Danio rerio: one gene and its partners. The protein of the gene in region 6 interacts with the protein of the main gene of each other region in a biochemical or structural test. Links are inferred from orthologs where the notes say so. Each region holds a gene or a part of one and is shown on either strand. Other genes may lie near its edges.

Region 1 (4,030 bases), on a different chromosome or scaffold from region 6:
TTATGGCTGTTTTACACATTATCATTCTCTGAATAACGATCGTCCGATTCCGCTAGTCTTCTGAAGTAATTCACAACTTGGTCTTAATGGCGAATCTGTTTACTAGTTTGTGGGGCATAGTTTGAGTTCTTGCTGCTTTCATGTGATGTGGCTCCTGTACTAGTAGGCGGGGCTTCATTCACCATATTGACATTTACGCTTTTCCCCATTCAAAAGTATACGACTGACATGTCTGGAGTATTCTAGAGTCTTTGATACTATATACTGAATTCAAAAACTCTTGTTAATAGTGATACCAGTGGCCATTCAGTGAATGACAGCCAGAAACTTATTGCAAGTACTAACACAACTGCACAGGTTTATAGAAAAGACTGAACATGAACCTTGGCAAACAGCTTGCAGTTCATGTCAGCCAATTAGTTTTCCTGCCACTCGAAAATAAACATTGCAGAGGGCATACAATGATTAACAAGAAATAAACAAACACGACTAACGGCTAACTCACAGCTCTACAGAAAGTTGAATATCCAACCGGCTGGTGCAGAAGCTGAGAGAAGATCATGTGAGCTCTACTAATGCTCTTATTGGCTGTTGCTAACGAAAGTCGTTCTTCATTTGGATAAGGTTGAAGGATTCTCAGCTTTTTTGTATTGCTGGACATCCACACATACAGTCACCAACAGTTGTTGTCACTTGTATAGTTGGGAGAATGCCAGAAGTCTCTAGCTCTCCATTGATATGAATAGTCAATTGTTGCTTTGTCCCTGCTGGTCTTTAGTAGTTTGAATTGTGATCAAGACATTAAAGTTTTTTGTTATTTGAGAACCGATTGTATCATTGCAAGATGGATACTGCTAACAAAATAAAGGAAGATTGATGAATGGACAAAAGTAAGGAGACATGTCCCTCCCAAAAGCCTTTCCATGTGACCTGAAGTGAAGAAAAGTCATTTCAGGGGAAAGGGAAGGTTATGGTATTTAATCTTTACAAAATAATGAAGCACACACAGCCATCATTTATAGTATAAAAAAAATAGGAAGACAAAATTTTAATTTGATTGCAACTTTAATTTATTACCAGTCATGATTATTTGTTTTGATTTGCTTGTGTATGTTTTCTGACTCTCAAAAGGTGCCCGTAATCATTGACCTGCATTTTATAAATCAACTACAGTTTCAGCTAACAACATTCTATAGTGTTCTGCTTAAGAATCTGCTTTAGTTCTGTTAGGTGACCAACACCTTTAAAAACAGCATCCCGCATTTATTACATCAGGACTGGACCACCACCAGCCAAGTTATAAATAACCAAACGCATCAATAACCCTTCACAGATTTGTTAGAAGACATTTACTTCGCATCATCAGGGTTCTCCCGAGCAGGCGCTGGTGTGCTGCAGTGGCCATATTTAGATTTATTGCCAATCAATACTGGAACAGGTGGATCATATGACATCCCAACACAGACACTGCAGCTAAAAACAGCAACACCGAGCAGCATTTAAGACACAAACCACTCAAAAACTGCTGCTTTTGGCTGCAACACACCAAGGACAAGTTGGAGACTTAATGCACCATGAAAACAAACCAAACAGGGTTCATTGAGCCAAAGCTCAACCGGACTCCCAGTGTGTCTGCAGGTCCATCTGATACAAAAATCAACTCAGAAATGAATCTAACGTCATTCGACAACAGTATCAGGATCCTGGCGTTCCAACCGAACACAATTCCCCTTTGTTACTCCCCAAGAACGTTAGAAACAAACTAACATGAATGTGACTCCTTGTGTCTTCAGTCACGGGAGAGATGCAGAGCCTCGTGTTTGGGTGCATCGTGGCCAAGAGCTGCTGGATAACTGACATCTCGCTAATTATGACAGTCAGACTTAAATAATGCATGAGCATCTATTTTAACCAACCTCTTTGGAAATAGCGAAGGGATGTGATAAACCAATCATAATGACACAAATCAGAGTCGCCAGCCCACATTTCCATCTATTAGTTAGCCCTAAACTCTTAATAATATGCACACAATAGCCTGATAGAGCGCCGTTCACATACCGTCAGCCTTCTTAGGATGCATCGGGTCTCCGGCACCAAGAGCTAAGAGAGTGTGTCTGTGTCTTCCTTTGTGTGTGAAAGCTAAATGAAAGGATGCTAGCTGCTCTCTGGAAGTCTGACTAAACATGCCAGGTAGGCAAATCGCACACACATACACCAACACTGCCGCACTCGCCAACAGGTTCAGACCCGAGAGTGGCAAGCGAAAGACGAGCCATCGAGTCACCGCAAGGTGGGATGAGAATAAACAGAATGCATCAAACATGCAGGCACACGGCGGATTCGCCTTCGCATCCGCACGCACACACAAAATGAGATGGAAGGGGTGGACAAAATGGGAAAGATGTCGACGTTGCGGTGCTCACCGGTATCTTCCTGTTTTCTGCTCGTTTCAGCACATTTTCCCCTGGCAGCCTCCAAACGACGCACCGGCTACATCCCCTCCTCCCTCGCCGTCTCCTCTGTTCACTCAATCTCTCCTCTTCCTTGCGACTTATTTAATTATTTCTCCCCCTCCCTGCCGCTCCGTCGCTCCCTGCGTGCGGTCGTTACAGCTGGCTGTCCTTGTATAGGCTGCGTCCTCGATGGATGGATGGATGGATGGATGGATGGATGGATGGATTGATGGAACGGGCAGCTCTGCTGGAAGCCCTAATTGAGACGGGCGGCACAAACAAAAGGAGGGAGTTCCTGCAACACAGAACGGATATTTTTGCTACGGTGCCTGGCTCTGCTCTGCACTCTTCGCCTCTCTTCTCTATTATTTCACTCTCTCGTCCTTTTCTCTCTCTCTCACTCTCATCCTTTCGTCAGGGTGTAGCTGAGTCCCCAGAGAGCCGGTGGCAAACAGCTGAGGGGCCCGCTGGAAAACGTGGCATGGAGCGCGAGGGAGCGGAGCATCAGGGTGGATGGTGAAAGAGCTTAGTGTGTGGTGTATGAGAAGGAGGAGGAGGATGGTTGATAATGGCTGGGACTTTTTGATAATTAGTGGTAATCTGAATAAATTTGATACTTAATGTATTACAATTTCGCCACTTACTGTTTGTGGCATGGACATAAATAATACCTTAATTTAGCCAGACTCTTGAGGAAAGCAAGTTGTGGTGGATGATAAAAAAATAATTATACTTAAGCGAGTTACATTAAATAAAGAATATATAGATAAAGTCAGACTTATTAGCCCACCTGAATAATTAGCCCCCCTGTTTATTTTTTCCCAAATTTCGGCTTTTCAACACATTTCTAAACACAATCGTTTTAATAACTCATTTCTAACAACTGACTTCTTTTATCTTTGTCATGATGACAGTAAATAATATTTTACTAGATATTTTTCAAGACACTTTTATAGAGCTTAAAGTAAAATGTAAAGGCTTAACTAGGTTAATTAGGTTTACTAGGCAGGTTAGGGTAATTAGGGAAGTTATTGTATAACAATGGTTTGTTCTGTAGACTATCGAAAAAAAAATAGCTTAAAGGGGCTAATCATTTTGACCTTAAAATGTTTTTTAAAATGTAAAAAACTGCTTTTATTCTAGCTGAAATAAAACAAATAAGACTTTCTCCAGAAAAAAATATTATCAGACAAACGGTGAAAATTTCCCTGCTCTGTTAAACATCATTTGAGAAAAATTTTAAAAAAGAAAAAAATTCAAAGGGGGTTTAATAGTTCTGACTTCAACAGTATATTGCTTAAGACGCCAAATACGTTTGACCTTAAAATATTTTACTACAAAAAAATGCTTTTCAAAACAACTTTTATTCTAGCCAAAATTAAACTAATTTCCGAAAAAAAAAATATTAAAAGGAATTGTATAAAATCCCTTGCTCTGTATTCATCGTTTGGTAAGCATTTAAATAAGAAAAAATTCAAAGGAGGACTGATTAATGTGACTTCAACTGTACATTATGTAATAAAGACTTGGAAGTACACTTTGTAACCAAGCATCCAAAGCAACATAGCAACCACCTA
Region 2 (3,500 bases), on a different chromosome or scaffold from region 6:
GAATCATGCTAGTCAAATGCTAATTCATGCTAGAATCGTGCTAACAACATGCTAATTCATGCTAGAATCATGCTAGTAACATGCTAATTCATGCTAGAATCATGCTAGTAACATACTAATTCATGCTAGAATCATGCTAACAACATGATAATTCATGCTAGAATCATGCTAGTAACATGCTAATTCATGCTAGAATCATGCTAACAACATGCTAATTCATGCTAGAATCGTGCTAATTCATGCTAAAATCATGCTAGTAACATGCTAATTCATGTTAAAATCATGCTAGGTACATGCTAATTCATGCTAGAATCATGCTAGTAACATGCTAATTCATGCTAGAATCGTGCTAGTAACATGCTAATTCATACTAGAATCATGCTAGTAACATGCTAATTCATGCTAGAATCATGCTAACAACATGCTAATTCATGCTAGAATCATGCTAACAACATGCTAATTCATGCTAGAATCATGCTAACAACATGCTAATTCATGCTAGAATCATGCTAACATTATGCTAATTCATGCTAGAATCATGCTAACAACATCTATCTATCTATCTATCTATCTATCTATCTATCTATCTATCTATCTATCTATCTATCTATCTATCTATCTATCTATCTATCTATCTATCTATCTATCTATCTATCTTTTCATACTTTTTAAAACTGTTTAAATAAACTATTACCGTCAGGCTTTCACAAGCCAGCCTCAAAGTTTGTTCTCAAACTTTAAGAATCTAGTTTAAGATTACTGTTTGATATTTTTGATGTTGGCTTAGTGTTTTCATTTTCGAGATTAATTAGTTTGTTTGTTTTCGCTCTAGTTCTTTTGGTGGTTCATGTTATGTAATGGTTCTATAGAATGTGACCAATAAATGAATCTTGAACCATCTTGTTACAGGAGTAACAGTGTTTCCTTGGTTACTGCATTGCACAAAGCAGTGTGATGTGAACTCCAGCGGGACTTTATTCATTTCATAAACCGAATCCCAATATTCACAGATTAAATTCAGGCAAACTTTAGAATAGTATACTGATACAAAACTTAATACTTTATAAAGCAACATTTAATACTTTTTAAGGGCCTTACATTTCTCTAAATTGATTTAATCACCTTTTAATACATTTAAGACCTCACAGATACCCTGTTTTAGGATTTACAACATTTGTAATGAACAACTAATAACTCCAAGCAAATAAATAAATAGGCCAATTCCAAACAAAACAAGAAGTCTTACCTTTGGATTATATTCAGCATTTCTGGCTCGAAGTGCTATCGTCTTCAAATCAAGTTTGCACCCCAAGTTTACGGTGGACACAATATTCCTTAAAAATAAATACACACTTTAAACATGATAGTCCAATATTTCTTACAAAATCAATGTGTTTGTCTGAACCGCAAATCAACATCTCTGACAGGATTGTTAATTGAGAAAGGACACTGACTGTAACTGCGGGACGATGCCAGAGCTCTCGGAGGCCGGTGTGGCAGGAGTGATAGGCGTCATAGGGGTGAGGGGTGTGGTATAAAGTGGTGTGTTGCCTGGCAGAGCTGTTGTTGTGGAGACGGCTTGTGTTGAGTGGTAAAGCTGGGGCGTCTGGCCTGAACCTCCCACCATCCCACCTTGCTGCTGTGAGGCCGCCTGCTGCTGCTGCTGTTGTCGCTGCTGCTCCTCCAGGAGGGACAAGCTGTTGGAGTTCTGCACAGGCTGCGGTGTGAGGCCCGTCCCATACGGCATCATAGGACTGAAAATGGGCAGGCCAGGCGTCATGGCTCCCTTATGAATTGAAAAAAGGCAAATTAGATGATTTGATACATCAATACATAACTGAAAAATATGTATTATGTAAAGGCTAGAATACAAAACTTTGGCCCATGTTTTTGAAGTTTTTTTGAAAGCATTAATGCTCTGCAGATTTTGGGGTTGACAAAAATCAAATCTGCTTTTTCATTCAAGGTGCATTGCGTTGCCTTTTTTGAAAAGTTAGGTGTGCTTTAAAAAAAAAAAAAACTGAATAAGCTGTATTTTGTGCATGAGTGTTGCTGTTGTTATTGTCATAACTGTAATATTTAATAACATTGTGATAATCAAAATTTGTGAAGTCATACAGGTCTGGATATCTCAAAACAGCAACCACTCAAAATGTCTCTCCTCCATCCTGAGACGCCTGAGGAAGAAGAGGCGTTGTTAGTGCTGAGAAAAAGACAACAACAATTCCTCTTCTTTCTCAGGTGGTTTGGAATGAGCCCCCACATCCTTCGCTCCTACATCTGCACTATGGAGAGCATCCTGACTGGCTGCATCAGAACCTGGTATGGAAACAGCAGCAATCGCAAAGGTCTGCATAGGATTGTGCAAACTGTTGGCCGCATGGTAGGAGGTGAGCTTCCCTTCTTCCAGGGCATCTACACCAGGCGGTGCATGAGGACAGTCAGACTGTGTATACACCTCTTCATTGTCTTCTACGCATTACGGTCAACATTGCTAATTGTATACTGTTTTTATTTTGGAGTATGTCGTTGTATTCCGTCATTCTCATCATGGTACATGTGCTGCTGATGATGTGACAATAAAAGTGATTTGGTTCATTAAAAATGTCCATAGTAGTCTTGCATTGCACCTCTTGAAATGGATGAGGCTTTTATACTTGGTGCATTTGCCATTGAGATATTCTGTTAAATGACAGGGGGCGGTAAAAAAAAACAGACAAAATCAGACGAATAAAAAGATAATTAATATCATTAAGAATGTTTTTGGGGGCCTCTTTTTTTTTTTTTTTTTAACAAACATCTTCTTTAGATTTTTCCAAACTTCTACAAAAACTTTCCTCCTTTCCTCACTGCTGTTGAAATTTCTAGCCAAGATTTATTGGTCATCTGGTTCACCCTATGATCATGCATGGACGGATCATAAAGATGTCGTTACAGACAGATGTACTCGTTTCAGACAAAATCTCTTCATAGTGTTTTAAATTCAACTCAAATCAAATGTGGTGCTCCGTGAACGGTTCACCCAAGTCTCAAAAAATTCCATTAGCTCCGCTGTGGCGTTATTTCACTGACTGACAAATGTTCAGAGTGCAGTATTACAAGTGAAGAGCATATTCAAGTAATACGAGCAAGTGAATCTCTTTGCTCGTGCACCGATTTCCTCTGTTTGTAGACAAAACTGCGTGTGAGCTCCCAAATATAATACGTTGCTTGCATGCAACTTTGCTCACTCTCAAATATGCACTGCTTACACACAAATTTTCTTGCGCGCTCTCAGTACACGGTTCCCTCATCCTTTATGGTTTTTGATTTGATCTATATTGGTGCACTATTTATTACCAATGAACAAAATACTAAAATAGACATACATATTACACTTTTAATCTAAAACTGAAAATATCTCATATAATAAAGCCAAAAATGTGATGGTTTATTAAACACTTAAAGACACAGAGAATAGTTTTATTTTAAAAACATTTATTAAACATCCATAAGGTGCA
Region 3 (3,500 bases), on a different chromosome or scaffold from region 6:
TACAATGCTACAAAAGAATTACATATAGTTACAAGCAAGTTAAATGTACACTATCAGACCAAAGTCTTGTCACCTATCCAAGTTTATGATAACTTGTTCATTTGGTATCAAAAGTGGCTTATATAAAAGTCAAAGGCCTCTAGATTACGCTTATTTTACCAAAACCAAACATGATCATGCCTTGATTTTTAATGATTTAATTAGGACAGTAAGATCTGACTTTGCTTAGACAAAAGTCTTGCCGCTTAACAGAAATAATGTCCAATGTAGAATATAAAGTCATGGTGCAGTGGAAAAAGAATGAATATTGTGTATAACTCTCATGAGCTTGGAGGACTGCATCCATACATCTCTGCAAACTCAAATACTTGATTAATCAAGTCATCTGGAATAGCAAATAAAGGGTTCTTGCAGGACTACCAGAGATCATCAAGATTCTTTGGATTAATCTTTAATGACTTACATGTTCCCTAATGCAACCTCTCCTAACAGAATGAGGCCCACAGGATCAGCCTGAGACGTGTGGCAGTAGTTGGCACTCTTCGACACCATATCAGCAAAGTAAACACCTTTGCCAAACATGTAACCCGTCTGTATGAAAGATCACATAACAGTTTAGATATCATAGGAGAACAACAACAACAACAAAAAAACAATGAACAGTGCAGCACCATAGATCAAGAAAGAAATGGCTCTAATGCAGCTATTCATCAAATGGACCCTTTTCACATTTCCGGGTTTCTCAGAAGCAGAAGTCATCATAGTTGGAAAAACTTAGAGCGCAGTGAATAAGAGACTACAACAAGTAATGAGTAATGTTTTTACAATCCTATTTGCTGAAATATTTAAAGAAAAAATTGATTATGGTGTTATCAAGACTTTCAGAGAAAGAAAAAAAATATTGTGAGACTGATAACAGCAGCCAGAAAAAAAGAACAAGGTCAAATTTACTGTCCCGCCCCATAGACTTTGTATTGCAAACACTTTGCATAAGCGGCAATTAGTTTTTTTTTTGTAATTTGATGCAAAGATGATATAACATATATGAATACATATAAATGTTCATATGCTTTTTTTATCAAGATATTAAAAACTTTATTGGATTTAAGATGCTGATGACTGTTACACACATTATAACAGTCCTGTGAAAAGGGCCAATCTTAAGATAAAAGAAAGAAACTCACCACTGGGGCCTCCGGAGGAGCGATGCGGAGACCCTGAGACAGAATACCAGCATAGTTGGTGGTGCGCGAGCCGTGCCACAGCAGCTGGCGGTTGGGTAACTCTTTGAAGGGGCGATAACGCTGATACTCGCCCTCCCTCTCAATCTTAAAGATCTATGATGCAAAGACACAGCAGATGGAGATAACAGCGTGTTATTTTACAGCTATGGTATATGTACTAAAAATGGGGAAATGTGTGAAAAGTTTGCTTTTGAAAATCTGGGAATTAATCAAAACTTCAAACAATTTTTATACATTACACATTTTTTTTTAAATTTACAGTTTTTATTGAATACATCAGGCTCTTATGGCTCAAAAACTACAACAACTACATTAAGGACTTGAGGAAGAAACAAAAACTAAACAACAACTGATGCAATGTGGTTTCAAAAGATCGAAGATTACCCTTTGATTGTAACATTATAACATTAGTTTGAATAAAGTGCAGAGACAGTTGAAATCAAAATTGTTATTCCTTTAAATATTTCCCTATCCCAAATAAAATTTAAGAGAACATTTTTCACAGTATCAAGTCTTATTTCTTTTAGTCTGATTGGAATAAACGTTTTCAACGTCTAAGGTCAATATTATTAGCCCCCTTAATTTTTATTGGCTACAGAACCAACCACTTTTTTCCAATTACTTGACTTATAAGCTTAACTTGCCTTGTTAACCTAATTAACCCTTATTAAATAACTAGTAAAATATTCCATACCGTCATCATGGCAAAGACAAAAGAAATTAGTTATTAAACCATTAAAATTATAAAAAGTTATTCTCCCCTTTATACATCACTAGGAAAACATCTGAAAAATAAAAATGTATAAAATCTGAAAATGATCCTGCATCCTGTTAAATCTCTATGCCACAAGGTATTTCTAAAAGGGAAAAGAGTGTCTAACACAGTTGCTGTACATTTTTTACAGATAAATTTGAGATCTTGTAAAACACGATTAACTAAAAATGAATACTCTACATTAGGTATGGAGGACCAGGAGAGACGGTTAGAAATAAAATAAAGAATAAAATAATCAATTTAGTAATTGAAGCATTAAAATAAGTATGAATCACAATTTAAATGAACAAATAATGGAAAAATAAATCTACATATTTAAATGTGTTTTTAAATGACATGAAAGCAATAAAACAATGCATTTATAAATAACTTTTAAATGTATAAATAAATAGACAATTTTATGAATGTTTATTTAATTCATGTCCTAAACCGCTGATTAATCAACCAATGAAAAAGTGCATTAATAAATAATTTAAAATGCAATTAAATGCATAATTTAAATAGCTTTTTTAAGAGGCATTTGACAAATGCTTTTCTCGAGTTGAAAATAAATTGAGTTAAAAAATGCCGTTGGACCGCTCTCACTTGTAAATGAAAAATATTAGCGGGAAGCCAAAGCTCATTTTAGCAGGAGTTTAAACATCAGCGAAGCGGCTCAAATGTTAGGGTATTATGAACAAGTTTTGAGACGGTTTGTGGATGATTTAGTAGCTTTAGCTGATTTCTGTTAAAGAAATTCTCATCTGGATTAAGTCGATGCGTTTAGTAGTTCAAGTCGAAAATTTTTAAATGAAACACCCAAAGTTACATGAAACTCCGGAGGAAATGTGGTGGCTCGAGATCATGAGGAACATTCAAAACCAACTCATGTAAACACCATAATCATCTTATTGTTTTATTCATATCAAGGGAAAAATTGAGATTACTGATGTCCATGTAAATGTAGTGAGTGTTTAATCTCACCTCCTCAACATCCAGTGTGTAGGTGTTGTGAGTAGCAGCATGTGTGTTCTTCACATATTGAAGGATAAGCTGAGCCTCATGTGAAGACTTGTCGACGACCTACAAGCAAACAAAACAAATCAACATCAATCACTACAGCGCGACTTCACTGTGGTAACCATACACAAAACTTTATAGCTCTTGCAGTCAAAGCCATTTTACCTCAATTTTGGTTTTGAGTTTCTCATAGTTGATGTCAATGGGATCTTTTTCGTTGTTCTCCACTCCTCCCCGAAGCAGGCTGTAGGCCACCTCGATGTCCAAAAGGTTGTCCAGCATCTGCACCTTTTGCTGTTATGGATACACAACAGGCTTGAGTACATAATAATAATATTAATAATTATAATATTAAAATACCTTTAAGGCGTCTTTTAAAACCACTCAAGGTCAATGTACATAATTATCTCCATAAGGCCTTCACTGAGACATGTTATGATGGTTACACAAGTCTTACCTGGATGTAATCCACATTACTCAAT
Region 4 (4,011 bases), on a different chromosome or scaffold from region 6:
TAAGAGTGAAATGATTTTGTTCGGCCCGTCAAACTCTTCCAGAGCCCCAATGGTTAATCTAGAAAAATTAAGTTTTTTTATGAAGCCCTGGATAAAATATCAAGGTGTAATTCTGGATGATGGCTTAAGATTTGACAAACAGTTAAATGCAGTGGTCATTTCCTGCTTTTTTCAGCTTCAACTTTTAAAAACTGTCAAATTTATTTTATCTAGAAAAAAGTTTGGAAAAAAATAATCCATGCTTTTATTACTACTAGAATGGACTATTGTAATCCTGGTTACAATTAGTATAAAATGTTGCTGCAAGGCTTTTAACAGGTACCAAGAAACATGACACACAACACGCATTACACCAGTTTTACGCTCTTTGCACTGGCTGCCTGTGCACTATAGAGTAACTTTTAAAATGCTTCTCTCGGTTGTTAAATCTCTAAATGGCCTGGCAACTTCTTATCTGTCAGACATGTTAATTGAGCATCAGCCTGGTCTGTCTCTTCGGTCTTCTAACCAGAAACTGTTGTGCATACCTGGGTCAAGGCTGAAATGCAGAGGTGACCGTGCCTTCGCAGTAGCTGGTTCTAGGTTGTCCTACAGCACAACACGACATGTTTGCTATTGCAACCGGTCTTTTTTTGCAACTGGTATGCGTGGTTGAACCTGTGTGACATCATGTGTGATGTAGGTTGGTAATTCCCCCATACATTCTTCTGTTTAATGTCATCATCTGAAATGTCTTCCTACTGCCGAAGTTATATCTTGTCATCGTATACTTGATTTATGTTCACTAATTCGCAATTTCAAATAACGTGATGACTTCCCTTTATATATATATATATATATATATATATATATATATATATATATATATATATATATATATATATATATGTATATAATAATGCAGTTTTTTGTTTTATTATTTTTACCTGTTACTTGATTCTAAAATTCTTTATACTTTACTAGATTCTGACATGCGGCACAATTTCTGCATGGAAAACAAACTTGTATAAAAGTAGATTTATTATTTCTTACTAAATCTGAATTATCATCATATCTGATAAATTTTGGGGATTTTTTAAAAGTAAATAAAAAATATAGAGTAAATAGTGAGTACATTTAATTTTTTGGTGAATTATCACTTAAACAAATAGAAGAATAGAAAAAATAGTTAAAAAAACTAAAAAGATAATAGAAATAAAAATGACAACCTACAAAATATCAACAAAATTTAAATTATTATTATTTTTTGCTTCTCTTAAAATTTGTCAAATTTGCATTTAATATTTTTTTTATAACATATCAATTTGGGTGTACTAGTTTTTGGAGCATGATCATAAGTTATTTTGTTAAATGAGTTCCAGGTTTGGCTTCAGTACTGATAATCTAATCTGTATATACACAAATATAATATTGTATAGCTTTCTATTAAAAATAAGAATTTAAAAGAGAGATTTGAGAAGTGTACTTGTATATGCTGAGCACTGTATATATATATCTACTTTTTTTTCTATTTAGCAAAGAGCAAATGCAGATTTTCACTAACCATCTCATAGGTTTGCATCGCAAGCTGCACCTTGTCATCTCCGAACTCTTTGCACTTCCCATAAGACTGCTGGATCTGTCTTAACAGCGAGAGCTTCTGTTCAGATGACAGTGTCCGAGCATTAGCGGTGTATTCACGAGCCAGAGAATCAATCTGCCCTTTCAGATCTGCAGAAACAAGAGATGTAAACAAACAACCATTTAAAAGAGATGTACCATTTTATAGAAGAAATAATAGAGTCAGGAAATAAAGTAACAGCACGCATTATAAAAGATATTACTACACCGACTCACCCTCTGTCCTCTGGTCCAGATCTCGCATCAGCTGGAAGTTTCTTTGCAGCTCAAATGGCAGATTCTCGATGCCTAAATAGATCAAGTGACATATGAGTCTTCAGCACCACCATGAAGATTCAGGTAAAATTGGCTTTATATTCTCACATTTATACTTTGGAGTCCAAGAAAATAGTGAAGCAGAAATTAAAAAGGCTAATGCAGATTCGTTATAATGACAAATTGTTATAAACACAACGTGACTACTTGTTGTGACACAGTAGCTATATTGTTTACCAGCCTACTTTAAATATTTAGTCTGAATTCGCATGTAAATATGACTTTAAAACAACATTAGCACTAATTTACTGACTGTAAATAATGTACTTTGATAGTAACTGGCTGCTAATTTTATATCCTTATTTAAAATTAGCAAATAATACTTTTTTGAAACTATATTAATGAGGTAAAAGTCCAAATGTGCTAAAATAAAACCAACTTTACACCAATAACACAAAGCATCTAAGACCCACAATTCTGTGTACATTTTAAAAATGGCACTAAATAAACTATTTGTTATCTCGACAGGGCTAAACACTTTATTTGAAGCTTAACAATGTGCTCCAGGGTTTATTTATGTTTATCATTTCAATACATTAATAGTAGAAACATCACATCCTGTCACAGTAACACTACAATTAAGCGATAAACCGTCGCTGACATCATAACACTGTTCATAGCCTGTTAGCAGAAGCTACTGATCGCAATAACGCGTAATAAAGCGCTGCTTTGTCTCGTTACGTGGTCGTTTTTATAGTAAATGGCGTGTGTATGTGAAACTTGCAGGCATGCTTGACAATCTAAACACGGACGATGTTTATTTGTGGGGATAAATATCAAAATGAAGACAATAGTCTTACTGTCCAAATAGTGCTCTAGATACATTCCAGCCGCCATCTTGACAAACACAAACAAAGGTTCTTCCGGTTTTGCCGGAAGTTCTCGGGGGCCATGCTCATGAGGAGGAGGGGTCCTGAATGGGGTGTCTGTTGACCCCTTTCATGTCATTTATCTGCTTTGAAGGTGTCTTGAAACGGAATGACTAAACTGCTCCTTGGATGTTCAAAGATAAAAAGGTGAGAATATATTGAGGGATTTATTTTGGGGTGGTTGAAATGCTAAATTACATGACAGTATCTCAAATTTTGAAACAATTTTGACTTAATTTAGCATCACAATACATTTTATGAATAGCTTTGCTCGACTTATTTTTATTTTTTTGCCATTTCATCTGAATTTCAACATTGTGAAGTGTAGTCAAATTAAGCTTTTTAAGAAAAACTGAAACAAATGAAGCTTTTATTTTGTCCCTTAAACAATATTATCGAAAAAGTTGCTATTTAACATAGACACCATTTTCCCTCACAAAATGAAACAGTCTATAAAATGATTTATTTTTATTTTAAAAAAATTTTTGGACACAATGTTTGTGAGTTAACTTTTTAAAATATATTTTAGATCACGCCTTACAGAAAGAAGGTTGCTGGTTCGAGTCCCGGCTGGGTCAGTTGGCATTTCTGCGTGGAGTTTGCATGTGAAGAGTTTAGATACAAAAACCTCTAAATGCCATTTGATATGTACTTCTAAAATAGCATTTTCTCCTGTGTGTAGGTTCAGTCATTTTGACTACAAATAAGTTATTTTCTTTGCCTTTACAGTGAAATAACTGAACATAATTCCAGGAGGCTTTTAAAAAATGCTTATTTTTGGACAAAATATCAGGTGTAATTTATAGGTTTTTGCATCTGAAGTCTTCATGTCCTCTTCGGGTTTCCTCCAAGTGCTCCAGAGTCCAAAGACATGCGCTACAGGTGAATTGGGTAAGCAAAACTGTCTGTAGTGTATGTGCGTAAGTCCTGGTCCTCCAGGTTTGGGGGTTGAGCGTTGCCCTAACAACTCATCTTGTAAAAATTAGATGTCACAAAACACCAACATGATGCTAAACATCAACTTCGATATAAACGGCCCGGGGAGTAAGTATCACATAGGACTTTAATAGGATAGTTCACCCAATGGGAGATCTTTTTGAAGAATGTTGTAAACCGGTATCCGTTGTGAATAAATACTGTGAAAGTCAGTGTCTACCAATTTTTTTCCATTGTGTACAGCAAAAAAAAAAAAAAAGTTTTGGAACCA
Region 5 (3,500 bases), on a different chromosome or scaffold from region 6:
TGCTGTTATACTCCTTATTAAATCCAGAAACTAAGCTTTTTTTGCACAGGCCTATCTGAAGAATTTGGTGCCAACTATTGATCAACAGTACAAATGACTAATTTGACCTCTTTTCAAATCAAAAATGCATAATATGGTGTCATGGCTTTTCAATTAAAACATGTGGTTATAATACAAGTCAATGGGGGAAAAACAGCCAGCAACAAAAAATTAGGAAGAAAAAAAATGAAAATCACCCAAAACAATTAATCAAAGGCAATTTTGTTTCACATGTTTTATTTCACAGTTAATTTTTTATAGAATTTTTTTCTTTTCACCAAATCATTGACATTGCTTATACATTTGGCTATTAAAGAGTTAAAATCCTGTAATTTTTCTAACCAATTTAGTAGTTTTGATCAGAACTGAGGTTGATTAACAGATTTATGCAAAATAAAAGAAAAAAAAATATTTATCTGATGCATTTTTACAGGAGTCTAATTTAGTGGATGTGTTCATCTCGAACATAACAAAAGGGTAGTAAATTTGCACAGAGGCTATTGTTGAGGTTTTTGTTTTTTATTTAAAGCATTTTCTCAAAATATGTGTCAAAATAAGATTCGTCACCAGAAATCATTTTGCTAGCTGAAAAAGTTGTGGCCAAATGAATACTAAAAATCAGCCCAGAGTAGATGAAAACATCCCCAACAGTACACAAGGATTAATATGAGACACTGTTAAATAACTTACAAAACCAAACTTAATTTCTACAACGTATAATAAACGCAACGTTTTAGTGGTGACACTAGTGCACATTATCTAGGAGAATTAAAAATGTAAAGAATGGCCATACTCTAATGTGTACTCTGAGTGGTGCCATTTTATAGTCTGCATTACCTCCATGGTTTGAACTTCGTGAAAAATAAATAAAATAGGATGCTAGACTCTCGGGAAGTAATCTTTTTTATATGCTGTAAACACATTTAATATTAATTAGTATTATTATGTGTACTAAATTGTACTGACTTTGTGTTAAATGTGAATGAAGTGTAATATCTTCCTCTTGTTCATTTTTTAGAGGTGCTGTTTTATGCATTAGTGATTCAGGGAGTACCCTGAGATTTTCTAACGAACATTGTGAATTGCTTTTTACAGTTCCAAGGTCGACTTCACAGCCACCCAAACTGGCTTACTGCCACAATAACCTTCTTCACATACACTTTTTCATATGAATGTTTAGGATTCTCTGTTGCAGATTCTCTTATTATACCTCATTATTGAAGTGGTTTTATACAGCGGTTTAGCAGTCAGTGTGTTTGTGTCGGTCTGTGACATTTCTGGCTGCGACGCACTCATCTAATTTAAAATTTCATTTGGAGAGCGGGAACAGCGTGTACCTGCTCTCAGCTCCTAATCAGATCCAAAGCTGTTGATGCGCTGCACTGCACTCTTTGTTGCTTGTGACGGAACAGTATTTACATTTTGCTAATACAAAGTTTCTGAAGGAAAACCTCTCTGAAAGCTGAGCTGAAGAAAGATCTGGCATGAGTTTCTACTTGTGCATTTTATTGTTTGAGCATGATTGCTTAAGAATGATGAAAAACAAGCACTGCTTTATTTCTCCACCTTTAGGTCACAATGACTATGTTTGTCCAGCGACCAACCAGTGCACTATTGACAGAAACCGTCGAAAGAGCTGCCAAGCATGCAGACTGCGCAAGTGTTATGAAGTAGGCATGATGAAAGGAGGTACATTTTATATATATATATATTACTATTTTTTTCTTTTCCTCTCCATCTATATGTAAATATCATCTGTCATTTGATCATGATTTAAAGCAGCCTCTGTAGAGTTTCTCCCAGTGTCAAGAATTGAGCAAAATTCGAAATTAAAAGGGATCTTCTCCAAAATTATTCATCCTCGTGCTTGACTGTATATATTATATTTACATAAATATGATTAGACATATACACAAAGTAACTTATAGAAGTGAGTACAGCCCTCACATTTTTGTAAAAATTATATATATTTTCATGTGACAGCATTGTAAAATCCCACTTTACTACAATGTAAAGTACTGAGTACTCAGCTTGTATAACTGAGTAAATCAGCTGTCCCCTCAAAATAGCTCAACACACAGCTATTCAAATTTGAGCTTACATTGTAGCTGTGTAATTCTTCTCAGTGCTGTTACATGAAAAAAATATATTGAAATATTTGCAAAAAACTATTTACAAAAATGTGAGAGAAGATACTGTTTTGCATGTGTTTGTGTGTATATAAATATGTATTTATGTATGTTATGCATCATTCTATTTGCAGATTCCATTAGTAGAAATTTAGCTGCTAATAGCCTACATTATATACATACATATATATATATATATATATATATATATATATATATATATATATATATATATATATATATATATATATATATATATATATATAATTACTGGCCATTTTATTAGGTACACCTTACTACCTTCTTTAAATTCAGACCTGCCTTAATCTTTCGTGGCATATATTCGACAAGGTACTGGAAACATTCCTCAGAGATTTTGGTCCATATTGACATGATAGCATCATGCAGTTGCTGCACATCCATAATGCGAATCCATTCCACCACATCCCAAAGGTGCTCATCAGAAGATGGGTCCTTCAATAAGTACAACAATACTCAGATTGTGGCGTTGAAACAATGCTCAGTTGGAACTAATGGGTCCAAAGTGAGCCAAGAAAATATCCCCCACACCATTACACCACCACCAGCCTAAACCATTGATTCAAGGCAAGATGAATCCATGCTTTCATGTTGTTGACGCCAAATTCTGACCCTACAATCCGATTGTCACAGCAGAAATCAAGACTCATCAGATCAGGCAACGTTTTTGAATCTTCTATTGTCTAATTTTGGTTAGTCTGTGCAAACTTTAGCCTCAGTTTCCTGCTCTTAGCTGACAGATTGGACGTGTTGTGCGTTCAGAGATGCTCTTCTGTATACCTTAGTTCAGTTGTAACGAGTGGTTATTTGAGTTACTGTTGTCTTACTATAAGCTGGAACCAGTCTGGCCATTTTCCTCTGACCTCTGGCATCAACAAGGCATTTGCACCCACAAACTGCTGCTCACTGGAAATTTTCTCTTTTTCTGACCATTACCTTTAAACCCTTGAGATGGTTGTGCATGAAAGTCCCAGTAGATCAGCAGTTTCTGAAATTCTCAGACCAACAACCATGCCACTTTTAAAGTTACTTAAATCATCATTCTTCCCCATTCTGATGCTCAGTTTGAACTGCAGCAGTTCGTCTTGACCATGTCAACATACCTAAATGCATTGAGTTTCTGCAATGTGATTGGCTGATTAGAAATTTGTGTTAAAGAGCAGTTGGACAGGGGTACATAATAAATTGGCCAGTGAGCATATATGCATGTATGTATGTATATATATATAAAGGTAAATAAAATATTTTTGATTGATTTTATTCCACTTTATTACATTTTGACTGACAAGTTTT
Region 6 (3,500 bases):
AGTAAATAATATTAGACTAGATATTCTTCAAGACACTAGTATACAGCTTAAAGTGACATTTAAAGGCTTCACTAGGGTAATTAAGTTAATTAGGCAGGTTAGGGGAATTAGGCAGGTTATTGTATAACAGTGGTTTGTTCTGTAGACTGTTGAAAACAAATATAGCTTAAAGGGGCTAATAATATTGACCTAAAATGGTGTTTAAAAAATTAAAAACTGCTTTTATTCTTGCCGAAATACAACAAATAAGACTTTCTCCAGAAGAAAAAATATTATCAGACATACTGTGAACATTTCCTCAATCTGTTCAACATCATTTGGAAAATATTTAAAAAAGAAGGGGGGGGGGGGTGAATAATTCTGACTTCATCAGTATATACAGTTATTAGTAGGGCCAGACAGATTCTTCTGACATCTTTTACTATTTCTGCTGAGAATTTAGTAAAAATTCTGCAGATTTATGCGGAAGGATTGTAGTAGTATCGTAACTAAAAACTTAATATATGAAGTCAACAAATAATGCATTTTAAACTTTTATTTACTGTTTACTATGCAAATCCAATTAGATCCACTTGTTTGGTAATCAAAGCAAGTCTCTCATATAATAGATCTAAGACAAGACAGCTGTATTGTGAATAAATCATGTCAATATTTTAATACTCGTCAACATTATTACTGAATTTATTTAAAAACTGAATAAATATAAGATTACACACATTCACACAAGTAACTAAATAGACTCAGCCATGGGCTGGAAATCTGCAGATTTCTGCGTGTGCAGATTCCGTGTGGGCCTAGTCCTCAGTAGTAGTGTCAGTAGTAATTAGTAGTATGTATAAGTTACTAGGGCTGTCAGAATTCATTGTTTCTTCAATGCACTGAGAATCAGACGTGAACAGTGTGTTATTGGTTTAGTAATAATCATAACCGCTTATTATATACTGACGTCATTTATCACACATGCGCTATATGGCGGTAGCTTACTATAGCGAGGGAGGAGGCTGTGAGTAATTAAAACTGCTTCAACAACTTACAAAGCAGAAACTGTGCACAATTGACTGCTTGTGAGTTTGCTGGACAGTCTGTCACTGAGAGGGAAGTACAACAGAACCCAGCTCTCTCTCACTCTCTGTAGTCCCTTTGACCTGCTGGCGTGTTCGTGAGGTTTTGTTTTATCAGACCCTCTAGTGTTTCGCGAATTTATTTTATTGAAATCTTTTGTTTATTTATTTATTCTTTGCTAAAGTCATCCCTCAACCAATCTCCGTCATTGTAAGCTGCTGCTGTTTTGTCTGCTCTGTTGCTCTGTTTGTTAGATGTTTGCTCACACTTTATTTTACAGCGCGTCAAACGCACAATTTGCGCCACAGGATGCCTAATCGCATCTTTGCATTGACTTCACATGTAAATCACTCGCACTTAATCTGCGTCTGTTTACTGCACATGCTGCAAAACGCCGCCACCTGGCTTTCATGTACTGTAATGATTGTGAGGGCGCAGGTGAGACGCCGTTTTTCGAGAGACACTTAAATTGATCTCGTGTGCTGCGTATGCAACATCTATAAGTCATGTGACACACTCAATTGCAAATACAAATATAATTTGGTTTGGAATTTGTTGTTTAATAAGATTTAAATTTGTTTTGATTATTTTGCGTTTAAATAAGAATTTTGCAGAATCGCAAAAATGTGCGACTTTTTGTTGATTTTTGCGTTGGATTCAGCGATCACAGAATCGCACAAAACTAGGGGGTCTGTTTTATTTCCTCTCTCAGCTGCTACAACAATAACAGTACTTGTAACGTAACGTTACGACCATGTCTGCCGAGCGAGTTTTCTCCACCGCGACGCCGTCTATAATGGACCAGCTGATCGCCGCGGCCGATTAACATCAGTGTCCGTGTCACTGTTTGCTGAACAACACCAAAGTCGCGCTGACCATTAGAGCCAATCGCAGCCCTCTCTGTTGAGCGTGTGATCAATCATAGGCATTTAAGAACTCGATCAACAACGCTTCAAAAGCAAGCGGGATCAAAATTACATTTGTTTATTTTTGTGTCATTCTGTATTTGTGAATGACATTTTACAAACACATAACTGTTAATCTGCAACCTGGATTCTCTCTCTCTCTCTGCACGTGTGCATGTGTGTGTGTGTAGTTCCTGACGCAAAGATCTGGGAGGAGGAGTTCGACCTGAACGCGGTGCGTCTGTGTTTCCAGGTCTCCATCACCCTGAGCAGCGGAGATCTGTTCCCTCTGGAGCCCGTCGTCTCTCAGCCGATATACGACAACAGTACGACTGTGTGTGTGTGTGTGTGTGTGTGTCTGTTTGTGCATCTGTATGCGTTTGTGTGTATCTGTTTGTGTTTCTGTATGTGCATCTATGTGTGTGTTTGTGTGTGTGTAACTCTGTGTTTGTGTCCTGCAGGAGCTCCTAACACTGCTGAGCTGAAGATCTGCCGTGTCAATAGAAACTCCGGCAGCTGTCGAGGAGGAGACGAGATTTTCCTGCTGTGTGATAAAGTACAGAAAGGTGTGTGTGTGGCACTGCAGAGACACACACACACACAAATACAGAGACAGACACGGATACTTAAAGACAAACACACACTCTCAATCAGACACATAAACACACAAAAGCACAGAGACACACACACAGCCTGTTTCAGCATCGCTCATATACTGTCTCACTGAACGTTTGATTCATTCATATATTTATTTATACTGATCATTTTCAGTATTAATATTGTTCATAGGGCTGGGTTAAAATGCTGTGTGTGTGTGTGTTTCAGAGGACATTGAGGTGCGCTTCTTCCTGGACTCGTGGGAGAGTAAGGGCTCGTTCTCTCAGGCTGATGTGCACCGGCAGGTGGCGATAGTGTTCCGCACGCCGCCCTACTGCGACACTAACCTGACCGAGCCGCTGCGTGTCAAGATGCAGCTGCGCAGACCATCTGACCGCGAGGTCAGCGAGCCCATGGACTTCCAGTACCTGCCCTCAGACCCGGGTGAGCTTTATTACAGTGTTGCCATTACATACTGCATTAATACCTAGTTATTACAGTGTTAACTAAGTGTTATTACTGCATTATTATGGTTAATTAAGTATTATTACTGCATTATTATGGTTAATAAACTGTTATTACAGCATAATTACTACATTACTGAATTATTAGTGTTAATTAAGTGTTATTAATGCATTATTTCTACATTACCGCATTATTACGGTGTTAATTAAGTATTATTACTGCATTATTACTACATTACCGCATTATTACGGTGTTGAGTGTTATTACTGCATTATTACTACATTACCGCATTATTACGGGGTTAATTACTTGTTATTACTGCATTATTAATACATTACTGCATCATTACAGTGTTAATTAAGTGTTGTTACAGCATTATTACTACATTACCGCATTATTACTACGTTATTACTGCATTATGACATTATTACAGCAATATTATGGCAATATTACTGTGTTATTACTGCAATG
Region 7 (3,500 bases), on a different chromosome or scaffold from region 6:
CCGTGACGTGTCTCATAGCTCGTGCTTGACTCTGGCAGGTCTGGCAGGTCTCATGAATAATTAAGCAGCCGGCTCTTCTTATAGGATAAGAAAACTCCGCTATGAATAATAATGAGAAACCGACGCGTCATCATTGCACTTGCAGTACTGCGCTACGTCGCCGATTTTGATCCCACCCCAAAAATCATTTTAAACCCGGAAGCTGAAATTAGCTGACAAAAGCTCAAAATTATCCAGTTTTCCCCACAATTAAAGCTGACAGGTGCTAACATTGTCTTAACTGATGCTCAACACACACAAATCTGTTAATATATAAAAAAAAAGTTTTCCAGGGTGTCCTGAACCTTTAACAAGGCATTTGTGCCCACTGAACTGCCGCTCACTGGATATTTTCTCTTTTTCGGACCATTCTCTGATCTGATCAACATTCATAGTCACTTAAACCCCCTGTCTTCCCCATTCTGATGCTTGCTTTGAACTGCCATGTCTACATGCCTAAATGCTTTGAGTTGCTGCCATGTGATTGGCTGATTATCAATGTGCTTTATCGAGCACTTGGACAGGTGTACCTAATAAAGTGGCCGGTGAGTGTATATACACATATGTATTGTGTGTGTGTGTGTGTGTGTGTTTAATTTGTTTCTATTTGTTTATACATTTGTTTGTTTTTTTGTATTTGTTTATCTGTCTTTTTGTATTTGTTTTTTTTATATTTTACCTGATATTGAAATTGTTTCTTAATATTTGTTTGTGAGAGTTGCATGTATGTAGGAAAAGTGCTATAAAAATAAAAATGTAATACTATCGTCTGTTGGGTAAAGGATGGAGCCTGTGTTGTGGGAGAAGTGAATGAAGAAGGAGAAATGACTGGAAAGGCAGTGGCTTATGTGTACCCTGATGGCCGTACGGCTCTGTATGGCTCTTTTGTTGACGGAGAGCTGATCGAGGCTCGGCTTGCGACTCTTACAACCCAAGAGAACAGCCGGCCGCACTTCACTGTTGATCCAGATAGTAAGCAATACTTTTATTTACAGTCTCATAAATCTTATCTGAAGATTACCCTTTGCATTGTATGTTGTGTTGTTTAAGGCAGTGTTTTACTCCTCCCAAAATGTAAAAAAGTAAAGAAAGCGTGTTATGCCGAGTTCTGACTTCATGATTTTAGCTCGGATTTTGACTCGCCGACAGGTTTTGAGAAATCGCAGACAAATGCCTGAAATCTCAGGCAAATCGTTCCTTGTTTACGTGAGTGACAATCACCCAGTGTGAATTATCAAAGACACGAACTTATAGAATTGCAGATGAGTCACCAACACGGTGAGATTACTGGCATGCTAAATATCTGGAGCTGTCAGCGATGCAAAATCATGCCGTGTGAAATGTGTTCTGATTGAAAATAACACCGGCGATTACTTACAGCCAATGAGAGAGCAGCATCCACTGGTGTGGGTATTTGCAGACCAGCAGGAGGTTGGGGGAGAAGTTAAAAGGGCTCATGTTCATTTTTCTATTTAAATCCAGCAAAGGGGTTTATATATATATTAATATAAAATATATTATTAAATCTGAAATGCTTAAAGCACAATTTGTTTCATATTTTTATTCTATTGTATTGATTTCTCTTTATTTGTATTTATTATCTTTCATTATATAACAGTAGTTTCTTCTGCAATTAAAAATATATATTGCCTAGAGGGGCTAATAATATTGACCTTAATAGAGGATTCAAAATATTTAAATCTGCTTTTATTCTAGCCAAAACAAAACAAATAAGCCTTTCGACAGAAGAAAAATATTACAGTGAATACTGTTAAAAATCCTTGCTCTGTTAAACATCATTTGGGAAATATTTATTTTAAAAAATTCTCAGGAGTGCTAATAATTTTGATTTCAACTAATAATCGTTTGAAATAATCGTGATTACAGTTATGACCAAAATAATCGTGATTATTATTTTTCCCAAAATCGAGCTGTCCTAGCCCAATGTGTTCTTAATCCGGCCCTGTCTGCTGCGTAAAACATATGCCAGAATAGTTGGCGGTTAATTACGCTGTGGCGACCCCTGATAAATAAGGGACTAAGCCGAATTAAAATTAATGAATGTGTAAGCTTACATTTTTGTAAATAATAATGCTAATTGTTATTGTGCACATGACACTCGACGTAACCTAGTGAAATTTGCATATTGCACAGGACTTGATTAACAGAATCATATCCGTTTAGCAGAGACGTATTCATGTGGTCAAAAGTAAATCGAACCGTTTTCAAAAATCAGAAAAACAAGCTATCCGATCAGAAAAAACTGCATAAATTTGATCTTTTTCTCTCATTCATTTCAGGTCCTATTTACTGCTATGATAAATCCACTTCATCCTGTATCGCTGGTCATAAACTGCTGCCTGACCCCTACGAAAGTCAACGGTTGGTGCAAGCTGTGATCAACCATGTAAACCCCAATCTATCAAATCTGGTTTTGCATTGAAAACATGTGCTTGTTTGTTCCAGTGATGGATTGTCTTGTCATTTCACCAGGATATTCAGCTGGTTCTGTACTATAGTATTGCACATGTCATCACCTTGTTGATTTCAAGCTGAAATGGTTTTATTTTTATGTTGGTTGAACAGTGTGTATGTGGGACAGTCGCTTATTTCCGGAGCTGGAGAAGGGCTTTTTGCACAAACGGAGGCTGAGGCTAACACTGTGATGGCTTTTTATAATGGTGTCCGCATTACACACACTGAGGTTTGATTGGTTGTGTTTTACAGCATTCAAGGCTAGAATTTACTTGATGAATGATGTGCTGAATTATTTTTATATCTGTGCTTAAATAAACAGGTGGACAGTCGTGATTGGTCCATGAATGGGAACACCATTTCATTGGACGAGGACACTGTGATTGACGTTCCTGCACCTTTTAATATGACAGAGAATTATTGTGGATCTCTTGGTCACAAGGCCAATCACTCCTTCTCTCCCAACTGCAAATACGACCAGTGAGTCTGAATATATTCTATTCTCTATGGTTATAATCCATTAAAAGTCCCCAATAGGTCGGAAGAATTACTCAGACTGTCCTGTCTGACACAAACACTCATGCCATATTCCAAAATAATCACATTTCTTCCCTATTTTGATGCTCTGTTAAAACTTTAACTGATGGTCTTGACCAGGGCTACATGACTAACTGCATTGAATTGCTGCCAAGTACTTGGCTGCTTAGATAACTGCATTGACAGGTAGTTGAACAGGTGTACCTAATAATGTGTCCATTAAATATATGCAAGTTTTAAGCCGTGGTCACACTGCACTTTTTCCCCATAGACTTCCATTCATATGCAAGCGAATGTGGCAGACCAGAAATGCAAGCTGGTGCGACAAGTTTCCCACGTCGCTGCATTGGAAAGTTCAAGCTCTGACCTGCGAAATCACATCATTATTCGAAGATCAAAAACGTGACCTCTTTGTACAGAAATTTTAAATATGGACCAGTCGCTCACTT

Evidence for each region.
Region 1: of the proteins of rela (region 6) and prkcz, one has a biochemical effect on the other in vitro, tested with the Homo sapiens proteins (2 studies listed by BioGRID). The link is inferred for Danio rerio from reciprocal best matches to the Homo sapiens genes RELA and PRKCZ.
Region 2: the proteins of rela (region 6) and tbp form a complex in vitro, tested with the Homo sapiens proteins (2 studies listed by BioGRID). The link is inferred for Danio rerio from reciprocal best matches to the Homo sapiens genes RELA and TBP.
Region 3: the proteins of rela (region 6) and parp1 form a complex in vitro, tested with the Homo sapiens proteins (2 studies listed by BioGRID). The link is inferred for Danio rerio from reciprocal best matches to the Homo sapiens genes RELA and PARP1.
Region 4: the proteins of rela (region 6) and ing4 form a complex in vitro, tested with the Homo sapiens proteins (3 studies listed by BioGRID, with this or other methods). The link is inferred for Danio rerio from reciprocal best matches to the Homo sapiens genes RELA and ING4.
Region 5: the proteins of rela (region 6) and esr1 form a complex in vitro, tested with the Homo sapiens proteins (3 studies listed by BioGRID and IntAct). The link is inferred for Danio rerio from reciprocal best matches to the Homo sapiens genes RELA and ESR1.
Region 7: of the proteins of rela (region 6) and setd7, one has a biochemical effect on the other in vitro, tested with the Homo sapiens proteins (3 studies listed by BioGRID and IntAct, with this or other methods). The link is inferred for Danio rerio from reciprocal best matches to the Homo sapiens genes RELA and SETD7.

Annotation. Positions count from the first base shown.
Region 1 is NC_133183.1:19,585,326-19,589,355, forward strand, and holds the start of prkcz (protein kinase C zeta type), read right to left. Parts: upstream 2,801-4,030; 5' UTR 2,324-2,800; coding exon 2,059-2,323; intron 1-2,058. UniProt on the Homo sapiens protein: Calcium- and diacylglycerol-independent serine/threonine-protein kinase that functions in phosphatidylinositol 3-kinase (PI3K) pathway and mitogen-activated protein (MAP) kinase cascade, and is involved in NF-kappa-B activation, mitogenic signaling, cell proliferation, cell polarity, inflammatory response and maintenance of long-term potentiation (LTP).
Region 2 is NC_133188.1:27,603,467-27,606,966, forward strand, and holds part of tbp (TATA-box-binding protein), read right to left. Parts: intron 1,787-3,500; coding exon 1,455-1,786; intron 1,335-1,454; coding exon 1,247-1,334; intron 1-1,246. UniProt on the Homo sapiens protein: The TFIID basal transcription factor complex plays a major role in the initiation of RNA polymerase II (Pol II)-dependent transcription.
Region 3 is NC_133195.1:46,988,145-46,991,644, reverse strand, and holds part of parp1 (poly [ADP-ribose] polymerase 1), read right to left. Parts: coding exon 3,476-3,500; intron 3,313-3,475; coding exon 3,184-3,312; intron 3,082-3,183; coding exon 2,983-3,081; intron 1,338-2,982; coding exon 1,185-1,337; intron 592-1,184; coding exon 464-591; intron 1-463. UniProt on the Homo sapiens protein: Poly-ADP-ribosyltransferase that mediates poly-ADP-ribosylation of proteins and plays a key role in DNA repair.
Region 4 is NC_133194.1:10,614,127-10,618,137, forward strand, and holds the start of ing4 (inhibitor of growth protein 4), read right to left. Parts: upstream 2,801-4,011; 5' UTR 2,773-2,800; coding exon 2,736-2,772; intron 1,909-2,735; coding exon 1,837-1,908; intron 1,711-1,836; coding exon 1,544-1,710; intron 1-1,543. Other genes in the region: uncharacterized protein fam131ba, read left to right, coding at 2,934-2,951, 3,334-3,378, 3,611-3,695.
Region 5 is NC_133195.1:29,083,446-29,086,945, reverse strand, and holds part of esr1 (estrogen receptor), read left to right. Parts: intron 1-1,611; coding exon 1,612-1,728; intron 1,729-3,500.
Region 6 is NC_133182.1:1,073,541-1,077,040, reverse strand, and holds part of rela (transcription factor p65), read left to right. Parts: intron 1-2,158; coding exon 2,159-2,293; intron 2,294-2,428; coding exon 2,429-2,533; intron 2,534-2,792; coding exon 2,793-3,008; intron 3,009-3,500. UniProt on the Homo sapiens protein: NF-kappa-B is a pleiotropic transcription factor present in almost all cell types and is the endpoint of a series of signal transduction events that are initiated by a vast array of stimuli related to many biological processes such as inflammation, immunity, differentiation, cell growth, tumorigenesis and apoptosis.
Region 7 is NC_133189.1:50,828,359-50,831,858, reverse strand, and holds part of setd7 (histone-lysine N-methyltransferase SETD7), read left to right. Parts: intron 1-821; coding exon 822-1,011; intron 1,012-2,339; coding exon 2,340-2,421; exon of another isoform or gene 2,422-2,446; intron 2,447-2,625; coding exon 2,626-2,743; intron 2,744-2,836; coding exon 2,837-2,994; intron 2,995-3,500. UniProt on the Homo sapiens protein: Histone methyltransferase that specifically monomethylates 'Lys-4' of histone H3. H3 'Lys-4' methylation represents a specific tag for epigenetic transcriptional activation.